Linked DNA regions of Macaca fascicularis. The protein of the gene in region 2 interacts with the protein of the main gene of each other region in a pairwise test. Links are inferred from orthologs where the notes say so. Each region holds a gene or a part of one and is shown on either strand. Other genes may lie near its edges. The genes, in order: ZNF646, PRKG1 and FAM124A.

Evidence for each region.
Region 1: the proteins of PRKG1 (region 2) and ZNF646 interact in binary tests that used the Homo sapiens proteins (3 or more experiments, as listed by UniProt). The two-hybrid records come from large-scale screens. The link is inferred for Macaca fascicularis from reciprocal best matches to the Homo sapiens genes PRKG1 and ZNF646.
Region 3: the proteins of PRKG1 (region 2) and FAM124A interact in binary tests that used the Homo sapiens proteins (3 or more experiments, as listed by UniProt). The two-hybrid records come from large-scale screens. The link is inferred for Macaca fascicularis from reciprocal best matches to the Homo sapiens genes PRKG1 and FAM124A.

What each region holds. Positions count from the first base shown.
Region 1 is NC_088394.1:29,258,749-29,262,202, reverse strand, and holds part of ZNF646 (zinc finger protein 646), read right to left. Parts: coding exon 1-3,454. UniProt on the Homo sapiens protein: May be involved in transcriptional regulation.
Region 2 is NC_088383.1:94,263,022-94,266,671, forward strand, and holds part of PRKG1 (cGMP-dependent protein kinase 1), read right to left. Parts: intron 3,586-3,650; coding exon 3,463-3,585; intron 3,381-3,462; coding exon 3,318-3,380; intron 2,063-3,317; coding exon 1,996-2,062; intron 736-1,995; coding exon 637-735; 3' UTR 1-636. UniProt on the Homo sapiens protein: Serine/threonine protein kinase that acts as a key mediator of the nitric oxide (NO)/cGMP signaling pathway. GMP binding activates PRKG1, which phosphorylates serines and threonines on many cellular proteins.
Region 3 is NC_088391.1:30,377,296-30,381,588, forward strand, and holds the start of FAM124A (protein FAM124A), read left to right. Parts: upstream 1-1,458; 5' UTR 1,459-1,462; coding exon 1,463-1,949; intron 1,950-4,293.

The DNA.
Region 1 (3,454 bases), on a different chromosome or scaffold from region 2:
CAGTCACCAGCATGGCAAGGACTCCTGTGGACACTGTCCTCTGGCTCCTCTGACCTGGTCAGGAACTGAGGAACCCAGCCGCCACTGTGATTTCCCAGTCCCCCACCTACTGACCACCCACCTGCCTTCCCTGCATCCCAGGACAGTGGCTCTGGGGCTTCTGAGCTTGCTGCCCTGATGGGGCTCTGACTGCGCTCCCCTGGTCTCTGGACTCCATCCTCCAGCTGGGGTACTGGCTCAGCACCACCCAATTGGGCCTCTAGTCCCTGGCTACCAGCCAGGTTCGCCTCACTGGCTGTGCCATCCAGGCCTCCCTGGCCATTGGCTGGCTCCCTTTCTGTCTCCTCCTCATGCTCCCGCAGGTGCCGTTCCAGAGATCCCCGGCCAGGGAAGCCGCGGCCACAGAGGGCGCAACGCACAGCTGAGCGCCTGGACCGTCCAGCCCGCCGCCGCCGATTCTCCGAGTGCAGCCTCTGGTGGTCCTTCAGGGCCATGCGGTTGGAGTAGGTCTTGGGGCAGGTGGGGCAGCTGTACTGGCCCGTCTCGTGGCTGCGCCGGTGGTTCAGGAGGCTGCCAGCATGGCGATAGGTCCGCCCGCACTGCCCACAGCGGAAGGGCCGATCTTCCCGAGTCGGCTTTCGGGTGCCCCCACCCCCACGTCGCTCCATGTGGACACGCTGGTGGCTGGCCAGCTGTTTCCGCAGGCGGAAGGCCTTCCCACACTCACTGCAGCGGAAACGTCGGGGATCTGCATGGATGCGCCGGTGGTTCTTGAGGGACATGAGGTTTGAGAAGCCCTTGGAGCAGGCCTGACAGCCGAAGTGGCCGGTCTGGTGGCTCTGCCGGTGGTTGATGAGGCTGCCGGCATGCTTGTATGATCGGCCACACACCTCACAGCTGAAGGGCCGCTCAGAGCTGGCTTCAGTCTGGCAGCCCTTCTCGGCAGTCTCCAGCCTGGGCTCTATCTCCTCCCCTTTCACAGTGGTCTCCTCCCACACCTCTTCTTTCACCCCTGCCACTTCCTCCAGGGGCTCCACTTTAAGTTTTTCCTGGAGCTTCTCGACTTCTGCCTGCCCCAGTCCCTCCTCTGCCATGTGCTGGGGCTTGCTGCTGCCTCCTTCTGGGGTGGGCCCAACCTGCAGCTCACTGCTACCTCCTGCCTCTGGGATGGGCCCAACCTGGGGCTCAGAGCCTTTGCAGCGAGGGTGGTTCCGCAGATGATTACGGTAGGCAGCCAGGTTGGGGTAGCAGCGGGAGCAGACAGTGCAGAGAAAGTCTCCAGTCTGGTGGATCTTGCGGTGGTTCACCAGGCTGCCCCCATGGCGATAGGTCTTGCCACACTGGTTGCAGCGGAAGGGGCGGGGCTGAGCCTCCAGCAAACTTTCCCCACCCTGCATGCAGAGGCCGTCTCCCAAGGGGGTGCCTGCTCCCTCTTGAGACTTGGCATCTCCACCCTCTCCAGAGACAGAAGTCACTATGTCCTCCAAGACACTGCCCACAACCATCTCCGTGGCATCACCTGCCACTCCCAAGGGGCTGGGAGCCTTGTCTGCAGCAGTCCCAGAACTTTGACTTTGGTGGTGGCGCTCCAGGCTCCCCAGGTCATCGTAGGTCTGCCCACAGCAGCCACAGATGTGCCCATACCCTGCACTGTCCAGTGCTTCCACCTCCCGCTGCAGCTGATTCAGCAGCTCTGCTTCTGAGAGCTGCAGTGGCGGGCTGCGTGCAGGGGCTGCCTCTGCCGCTCCTTCCTCTTCCCCCTCCTCCTCTTCCCCCTCAGTCATGCCAGAGGAGCTGTGGGCCTGGCGCCGGTGAAGCCTGTAGCCAGCCCGCCCGGGGAAGATCATGCCGCAGAGGCAGCAGAGGAAAGGCTGTGCTGAGGTCGCCTCCCCGGGCCTATGGTTCTGGAAATGGCTGCGGAGGGCAGGCAGAGAGTCAAACTCCTTCGGGCAGAGGGAGCACTGATAGATGCCTGGTGGGTGGCAGGGCCTGTGGCTCAGCAGGCCAGTGGCATGGGGGAAAGAATGCCCACAGTCAGAGCATGTGTGAGTGGCCCCAGCCTGCCAGCCAGTGACAGTGTTGGCAGAGTGGGAAGAGGAGTTGGGTTGGCCAGTGGCTGGCTTCTGGTCTTCATCCACGCCAGTGAGGCCATCGCAGAAGCGAGTCCCACCACCTTCCTCACCTCCTGGGATGTCCAAATTGTCAAGTAAACTGGCATCCTTCCTTTCCAGTCCTTCCCCAGTGCCTCCACTCTCTTTATCACCCTGGAAATGGGTCTCATCCTTCTCAAGCCCACATTTGTCCCCTTCAGATTCAGCCTGCAAAAAGCCCCCATCACTTTCCAGGTTGCCTTCCGCCCCATGAAGACTTTCCACTGAAGGGTCTTGGGGAGAGTCCAGGCCTTCATTGTCTTCTAGCTCCCGGGTCCAGCTCCCTGCTGCCAGGAGTTTGGCTTCTCCCCCACCACTGGCACCACCAGCCCGCTTCCGATGCCGCCTGCTCCGCCGCCGACTGTGCCGGCGCAAGTGGTTCTTCATGGCAGCCATGGTGTGGAAGTGCTTGGCACAGGCCCCACAACTGAAGTCTCCTGTCTGGTGGGTCTGCCTGTGGTTGATAAGGCTGCCGGAGTGGCGATAGCTCTTTCCACAGTCTCGGCAGGCGAAGGCCCGAGGAGGTGACACTGTGGTCTCTGTCCTGCTATTTTCCTTTTCCCCTGCCCCATGAGTCAGGCCATGACGTTCAAGGCTCTCAGGGTCTTCAAAGAGCAGCCCACAGATGCTACAGGTATGTGCTGCTGTCCTGTCTGCTGCTGGCGTGATGTCTGTGGCCTCTTCTTCATGTTTGCACACGTGGTCCTGATCTGTGTGCGGGGCTGCCTCTGCCTCTACTGGGTCAGGCGGGAGTTCTACCTTGAGGTGGCTGGGGGCACCCTCGGCCCCGATGTCTGCACTTCGGCGAGCAGCCTTGCAATGTACCCGCACGTGGTTGCGCAGGGCCATGAGATTGGGGTACTTGCGGGGACACAGTGAGCACTGGTACTCTCCAGTCCGATGGCTGTGGCGATGGTTCACCAGGCTCCCCCGGTGGCGGTAAGCACGACCACACTCACTGCACTTATAGGGCCGATGGTCCAGGGTGGTGGTGGGGTCCTCTTCCTCTTTGTGGGTGGTCTCAGTCAGCAGCAGGCGAGCTGGTGGCACTGATGGCTGCCCATTTTCCCCAACTCCTTGCCTGGGCCTGTGATGAGCCCGCACATGGTTTTTGAGAGCAGCCGCATTGAACAGCTGCTTAGAACAGAGCGAGCAGGGGTAGACACCTGTCTGGTGGCTCTTTCGATGGTTGATGAGGCTCCCGGCATGGCGGTAAGTACGGCCACAGTCCCCACAGCGGAAAGGCCGGTATTCCTCCAGGCCACTGTCCTCCAGCTCCCCAGAGGTGCTAAGCTCTGCACAGC
Region 2 (3,650 bases):
GTTGTGCTTTTATCATATCATTTTTTAAAATCTGTCAGAAAGAAAAGGTAACATTCAGTCTTGTCATCAGCACTGCTGGGAAATAAAATCATGAAACTTCTAGCACTGGTGTGACATGAACTCTGTGACCAACAGATGTGTGGTCCTCTTTTGTATGGTATATACACCGGCCTGCAGTAATAGATCCCACAGCCTTCACTTGAAGAAAGGGAATAGCCCAGTTTCTGTACCATAGTAATCTATTGTACCCAATATATTATTCTTTCATCTTCTTGAATATTCTAGCAAGGTACAGACTCCTATACTAGATTGAAGTGTTTCCTACAGTCTTTCAAATTATAATCAGAGCAAAGCAAGGTCATTGCCACAATAGAAAACATCTCTTTACTGATGAAAGGCTTTGCTTCAGGACCACCATGTCAACTGCTATTTTAGGTTCAAACAGAAAACATGTAAAGAGCACTATTGTCATCTAAGCAATAAGTTCTAATGCCACTGTAGTTACTGGAGCAGCATCGATCAAAGGCATCATGGTGACCCCGAGCACTAATCTTCTCTCTTTCCCTCAGGTTTGCTGGCAGCTGTGTCTCAGAAAAAGCTGTCTTCAGCAAGGCAGAAGCAGGTAAGAGAAATACATTAGAAGTCTATGTCCCATCCTGAGTTGTCATCAGGTGGTGGTTCATCGTTGTCCTCAGGAAAACTGTCAAAATTGCTTGTATCTGTGGGTGATGCAACCTGTATAAAATGGACAGTTTTGTTTTAGTGGATTTTTTTTTTTAGTGGAATTCCAAGCTGGAATTTTTAAGTGCATTCTGTATTTATCCCCTATTAGTGACTATTTTGTTGAGTATCTACTATGTAGCAGGTATTGAGGGTCACACTGATGGGTACAAATAGACATGGTTCTTATCCTCAGAGAGTTTATACCCTTGTGAGTAATAAATTGTCTGATTAAAACAAATAATCACAAAAAATCTTTCTATATAATAAATTTTGGCTAGAGCTATGGAAACAAAGATGCCACAGAAGTCTAAGAGTAATCATATAGGCCCAGCGTGGTGACTCACGCCTGTAATCCCAACACTTGGTAGGCCGAGGTGGGAGGATCACTTGAGGTCAGGAATTCAAGACCAGCCTGACCAACATGGTGAAACTCTGTCTACTAAAAATACCAAAATTAGCTGGGCATTGTGGTGAGTGCCTGTAATCCCAACTACTCAGGAGGCTGAGGCAGGAGAATTGCTTGAACCTGGGAGGCGGGGGTTGCACTGAGCTGAGATCGCGCCACTGCACTCCAGCCTGGGTGACAGAGTAAGACTCCATCTCAAAAAAAACCCCCCAAAAAACAAAAACCAAAAAACTGATCATGTAAAGACTCTTTGAAAAAGTGTTATTTTATTTTATTCTTTTTTTAGAGACAGGGTCTTTCCGCTCTGTCACCCAAACTGAAGTATAGTGATGCAATCACAGCTCAGTCACCTCAAATTCCTGGGCTCAAGTGATCCTCCTGCTCCAGCTTGAGTAGTTAGGACTATAGGTGCACGGACTACAGGTGCACATCAGCACACCTGGTAAATATTTTCTTTTCTTTTTCTTTGGAGAGACAGAGTCTCACTATGTTGTCCAGGCTGGCTGGTCTTGAATTCTTGAACTCCTGGCCTCAAGTGATCCTCTCACCTATATATTTTTGTCTGCGTTTCTATCTTTTGAACATTTCCCATACTAAAAATTAACTTATGTTCATAAATGAGGGAAACTTGATTTAAAATGAATAGTTAAAAAAGATAAGAGTAAAACACAATTATAGCGACTATCTCCAAATGTATTTGCTTTTAAGCTTGGATTTTAGAATATGTCATTATTTTAATGTGACATTTTTCCTAGAGTTTGTTTAACCTAATCATAGGATTAAACTTAAAAAATAACAGATCATTGTTGACTGACATAAACACCATCAAGTGTCTCACACAATTATAAGCTGGAAAGTCTACTTACACTTGGTATTATAGGAGGTGTCAAGGTACCTTTTCTTAAGCCTTCCCAGTTAAAGCCCTCAAACCATCTAAAAAAGGAAAAAACGTCGATAAAGACATTTTATGTCAGCTAAAACCTTCTTGTTGCAATGTATACAATGTCCATGGCTAATGGGAAGCAGTTAGGCAAACATTTTCATGTGACAAAAATGTTTTCTATTGAATTGCATATGTTTTCCCAATTAGTTTATTTTATGAAATACATATTTTTAAAAGTATAACTGTCAAATTTTAAACATCAATGAACATGCAACACTTTTTCCTTGTAATTCAGTCGTCATGGCTCTATGACCTTGTTCCTACACTATAATTATAATTTAATAAATGTCATAATGTATCTGGCCCTGTGTCTTACAGGGTATTTTATTTTAAGGAGGTAGAACCAGGGCATGAAAAGTCAGGATAGAAAATTAACTTTCCATTTTTGCCACTGATTCAGTGCACAATGTCAGCTAGTTAATCTTTACGCATCATTGTAGTAGTCTCTACATGCCCCATTTTCCTCCTTTATTCCCTTTTTTAATGAAGAATAAAGGTGTTTTGCGTACAGTTTTTCTGTGAAAATAAGGACCAAAAAAGACTAAAGTTTTTGCTTGTTTGTTTTCTTCTGTCTTTGAAGGGTTTCGCCATCAGCAAATGCTTACAACAAATTCTTAGCAGGCTTTTCAGATATTCAGAGTTATTTTAGTAAACATGTTTCTTTGATAAGGATGTGAATTTCCTGTCAGTGTTATACAAACAAATAGAGAAAAACCAATTAGTTTAGCTTTAGAACATCCAATCAACATAGGAAAGGTCTGATATTTAAGATGTTGCTATTGTTTAAAAAACACTGTATTCTGTGCTTACGTTTTTCTCTTGTTATAGCATCTAATTAGGAAATGCTTAAAAAAATATATTTTGTCTTTAGGAAATCAGGTAAGATACAGTAGGGGACTTTTGTTTGTAATACTGTGGTAGAGAACAGAATCCCCAAATTTAAAATACACATTTCTTCTTTGTGCCAGAGAGGAAAAAAATGCTAGTTGGTATGAGTTGTAAGAAACTGAGTTCAGTGAATTCAGTTTCTTATGTTACAGGGTTGTCAGATAAATATAAATAAAGTTTCATAATCACAACTAGAAAGGCATTTAAAAGCCTAACTAGTTTATATGCTGTCTTTGGATGTTCCTATAGGCTAATTACACTAGTTTTACACCAATAACTTAAAAAGCAACACCCTGGGGAAAAGATGGCAGGTGTTCAGAACTCTGAAACCTAAAATTATAAGGAAAGAACACTTACTTGTGCTTTTGAATGTCTTTTACTCCATTTTTCAAATTCCCTAATCTTTCTGATGGATTGTCCCTAAAAATAAAATAATGGTTTTATTAAATCTATTTTTTTCACATTATGATCTTTTCAGAAATAATGTGGTTGAAATACTTGCCTGCATAGTTTTTTAATTAAATTAGCAGCATTTTTAGCAATCTTCTTTGGAAATTCTATCATGTCAATCCCCCTCAATATGATGTTATAGGTTTTCATAGGATCTGGGCCTGAGAAAGGTGGGCTGCAAGAATGACAGACATGACAAGAGATATTACTTTTATTTCCTACATGACAACACTTGAATTG
Region 3 (4,293 bases), on a different chromosome or scaffold from region 2:
CACCTCACAACCTGCACTGGGCTGCTTCCCTGTCATTCACTTGACACACACGCATTGCTCCAGGGGCTGTTCCAGGTGCTGGGGACACACTAAGAACAAAAAACACTGTGTCCCTGCTCTCATGGAGCTGACCTTAGGGGTATGGGTAGGGAGGAAAGAGCAGGTGGCCAGTAAATAAATCTATCATCTGCCAGCTCCTAGTACAGTGCTAAGAAATAGAGTTGGGTAAGGGGATACTGTGATGTAGGATTAGTCAGTGAGGCCTCCGTTATGAGGGGCCATGTGAACCCAGAACAGAAGGACATGTGGGGGGAGTCTTGCAGAAAATCTGGGAGAAAATATCTCAAAAAGAAGGAACAGAAAGTGCAAACGCCCTGAGGTAGAAGAGGGCTCAGGTATCCCTCCCTGAGAGAGCTTTCCCTGCTCTCTCACAATTTGAATTATGTTCTCTCTTTCTTGGGCACACTATTCTTTTCCTTCATAGTGGTTTATCTCCATTTTGTTACACATATATAATAATAATATATATACACACACACATACACACAGAATTTGTTTAACTGTCTCCCCTCTGGATTGTAAGTGCAATGAAGGCAAGGATCATACCTGTTGCTATTTTCTCTCATTTGTATATGCAGAGTTCACCCTCCTGTTTGGCATTTAGTTATTGAATGAATCAGTACATTAAAAATGATCATTAATGACATTGTGCAATGCATCACTCACAATGTTTCTCACCCTACTTGAGAATTTTCTTTTAGAGATCAGTGCACAGGCAGGCGAATGTCCCCTGAAGAACTGGCACGCTCCTTTCTTTCAGCTAATGAGCACCAATATGTCCGTTGCTGCTCGGGGTGCAAGGAATTTTAGGCTCAGTAAGGACAATTCCTCCCAATGGTTTGGATAGGACTGTCAGAACTAAATTCAGGTTGTTCAGATTCTCCTTCCGACCGCCCTGCCAACTTGCCTCCCTCTTCACCCTCCTAATAGGAGGTGAGCCCCTCCAATAGTGATCATTAACTCACCCTGAGGTTATCCCCTTGCTGCAACAATCCGTGAATTGCAGGTTCATTCAATGCTCTAAATTATTTTTAAAGGCTTTTTTTTTTTAAGTAGCAAAAGAATGCATGACACCTATTGTAAACTGGCAAGTTGGGGGGTGGGATGCCACTCAGACGTGTACTGAGAAAGGTGATAATGAATTTGGCGTCAGCAATTCTTCAGAAACTATAAGAAAACACCCAGGTATTCGCATTGTTCCCAAAAGGGAAACAAATCCTTCTCAGCTTTCACGATGCGCTGAGGTTGGTTTTCTCAGTGCTCCTCCCGGATCAGGAGCTGGGGAACCTCGTGGCAAGCCCTGGGGCTCGGGATTCCCGGACTGTGGGCCTGGGAGAGAGGGGCGGCTCTTCTGTGCACACTCACCCCGCCCCCACAACACATACGCGGTCACGCACCACAGATGGGCACACGCGCTCAGCACAGCCACAGTCGCGTGCAACCAGGAGTGCACACCGCACCCATTTCACACCGCATCCACAGACGCACGGGACCTCACACGCCTCGGCCACTCACGCGCACACGCCCCCCACGCGCTCACGCACTCGCTCGCGCGCACTCCCCGCGCACCGCCGCGCGCACACGCGGGTCCCGCCGGACGGCGAGGGGCGGGGCGGGCGCGGCCGCGGGTGCCCCGCCGGGCGCGGCCGGGAGAGGGCGCGGCGCGGGGTTCGCGGCTGGCGCTCGAGTTGTTTGCCGGCTCCAGGGCGGCCAGACGCTCGCGGGGAGCCCAGCCGGCTCGGACTGGAGGGAGCGGCCGGGAAGGAGCGCGTCCCGGGTCACGACGGCGCCCGCGAGCCGAGCGCGGCCGGGACGCGCATCATGGACCCGAAGGCGAGCGGCGGCGGCGAGGAGGACGACTGCGTGGACTCGGGCGCCGAGACCGGAGGGTGAGCCGCGCCGGGCCGGACCGCGGGCGGGGGGCGCTCTCCGAGTTGCGCGGCGGCTTCTCCCTGGCTGGGGACCCTCCTGATCCCCGCAATGGGACAGGGGCGCGGGGCTTCTCCTGCCGGATCCTCCGCTGCCTCCCAGGCAGGCCGAGCGATCCGTGGCTGCCCTCGGCAGGGCGGGCCCCACCCGGGGGAAGGAAAGTGGAAGGGCTCAAGGTTCAGTGCAAGCCCACCCATCCGGTGAGGCGATGCAGAGCGCCAGGCGGATGCAAAGAGCCCTTGTCAGCATCGCTAGAGACAGGAGATGCTCTTGCACTTGTTTCCTCCTTCCTCGGGGACTTTCCTCCTGTAGCTCCGGAGCACCCTGGAGTCCGGCCCTGGAGATGGGGAGAGGAGGAAAAGCAGGGTGGGACACCCGCACCTAAAGTCTTTCCGAAGTCGGCTAGGAGGATGGCATTTCTCGTTATATGGCTTCATCGTGGGACTTTAATCTGTGCTGCCGAGTCCCCTTCCTCGACTCCTCCAGTCCCGCCGAACTTCGTCACCTCTAAGTGCACCTGTCCCAGCCGCAACCGTTGGCCTGTTGTACCGGCGGGATGGAGATGGTGTTAAGATTAGGATCTAGCCCTGCCTTTTTTTTCTTTTCTTTTTTTTTTTTTTTTTAATATTCTCTTCGCTTCAGCGGACTCAAACAATGAGCTCAAACCTTTGGAGACTAATTAGTTAGTCTCCAAACACTGTTTTCCTGAGCGGAACAAAAGACAAAATGCCTTTTAGGAGATGAATGTCATTATAAAGGCTTCCAGGCAGCCCCTATATCTAAAAGACTTTCCTGTGCAGAGTCAGCACCACATCCAGGCCACGGGTACTGACCCAGGAGGAAAGGATGTCTTTTCCTATCTGGAGTAATCCTGGGGGAGGGCGGGAGCTGCCCAGACTGCAGAAAGCCTCATTCCTGAAAGGTCGGAGAGGTTTTAGACTAATCTCAGGATTTGGCAACCCTGTGAGGGCAGGTAGAGAATCTAGGCCCACAATCGACCCAGAGTTCTAACCCAACCCCGGCAAAGCTCCCGACACAGCCCCTCCTGCCCCACCACTCCTAGCCCAAATGTGGGACTTTACTCCCTAGGGCATTCACCCAGCAATGGGCTTTCTCTGTTATCTAAACTCATTCATAGCTCTCTACAGCACCCAATTATAATCTGGTGGAGTAACCTGATGCTAAATGCTAAACTCCCTTTCTTCTTCCCACTCTTTGTATAAGTGGCATGTATCAACTTTAATTGAAGATTATTGGCTTTTTTTTTTCTGCCACTAGTTAGCTGGACTATGAATAGGAGAAACAAAGCAAAATTAACCAGCTTATTTGTAGCTGCGTTAAATAAAGCGTTCAGTAGTCTATTCATTTTCAATTTGCAGAGCTCACCTAAAACTGATGTTGTTTTCAAGGGCTCTGTCTTAGAGAAGGGAGAGGAAGTCCTGACCCAGGGGGTGATATCGCCCCAGGATCTAGACATCAGCATGACAGCTGCCAGGCCTCCTGGGAGGGGCTCGCCACTCCTGCTGACACCAGAGCTTCTGTTCTCAGCCTCTGTCACTAAAATGTGTAGTTGTAACAGGACAGAATTGTTTAAAGAATTCTTGGCCGGGCGCCATGGCTCACGCCTGTAATCCCAGCACATTGGAAGGCTGAGGTGGGCAGATCACCTGAGGTTGGGAGTTCGAGACCAGCCTGGCCAACATGGAGAACTCTCGTCTCTACTAAAAAAAAATACAGAATTAGTCGGGCGTGGTGGCACATGCCTGTAATTCCAGCTATTCGGGAGGCTGAGGCAGGAGAATCTCTTGAACCCAGGAGGCGGAGGTTGCCATGAGCCGAGATCACACCATTGCACTCCAGCTTGGGCAACAAGAACGAAACTCCATCTCAAAAGAAACAGAAATTCTTACTGTATCACTAGCATCCTTAAACTAAAGGTAAAATAGCATGCGTTTCAATGTATGCTCATTAGTTTTGTGTTTTCCGTATATTCATGGAGCCCTTGAATTTCAGTTATCAAAAAGCTGTTCATCGTTTCCCTACTTTTCTGGAGCTTGCCCCCACCCCTGACCCTATCCAGTTTTCACAGAGATTGTGTAGAAAGCACATAGAAAACAATAAGTTTGCTATCAGTATTTTTAAAATGCAAATCTGATCATGTCTCTCCTTTTCAAACTTTTATGGCTCAGTTATCTACAAATGCAAGGAATTTAACGTGGTCTACATGCCCTGACTCCTGTTATGGAGTCCCTTCTTCCCTCCCTGGCCTTGTTTCTCAGCAGGTCCTTCTGTGCGCCTTGTATC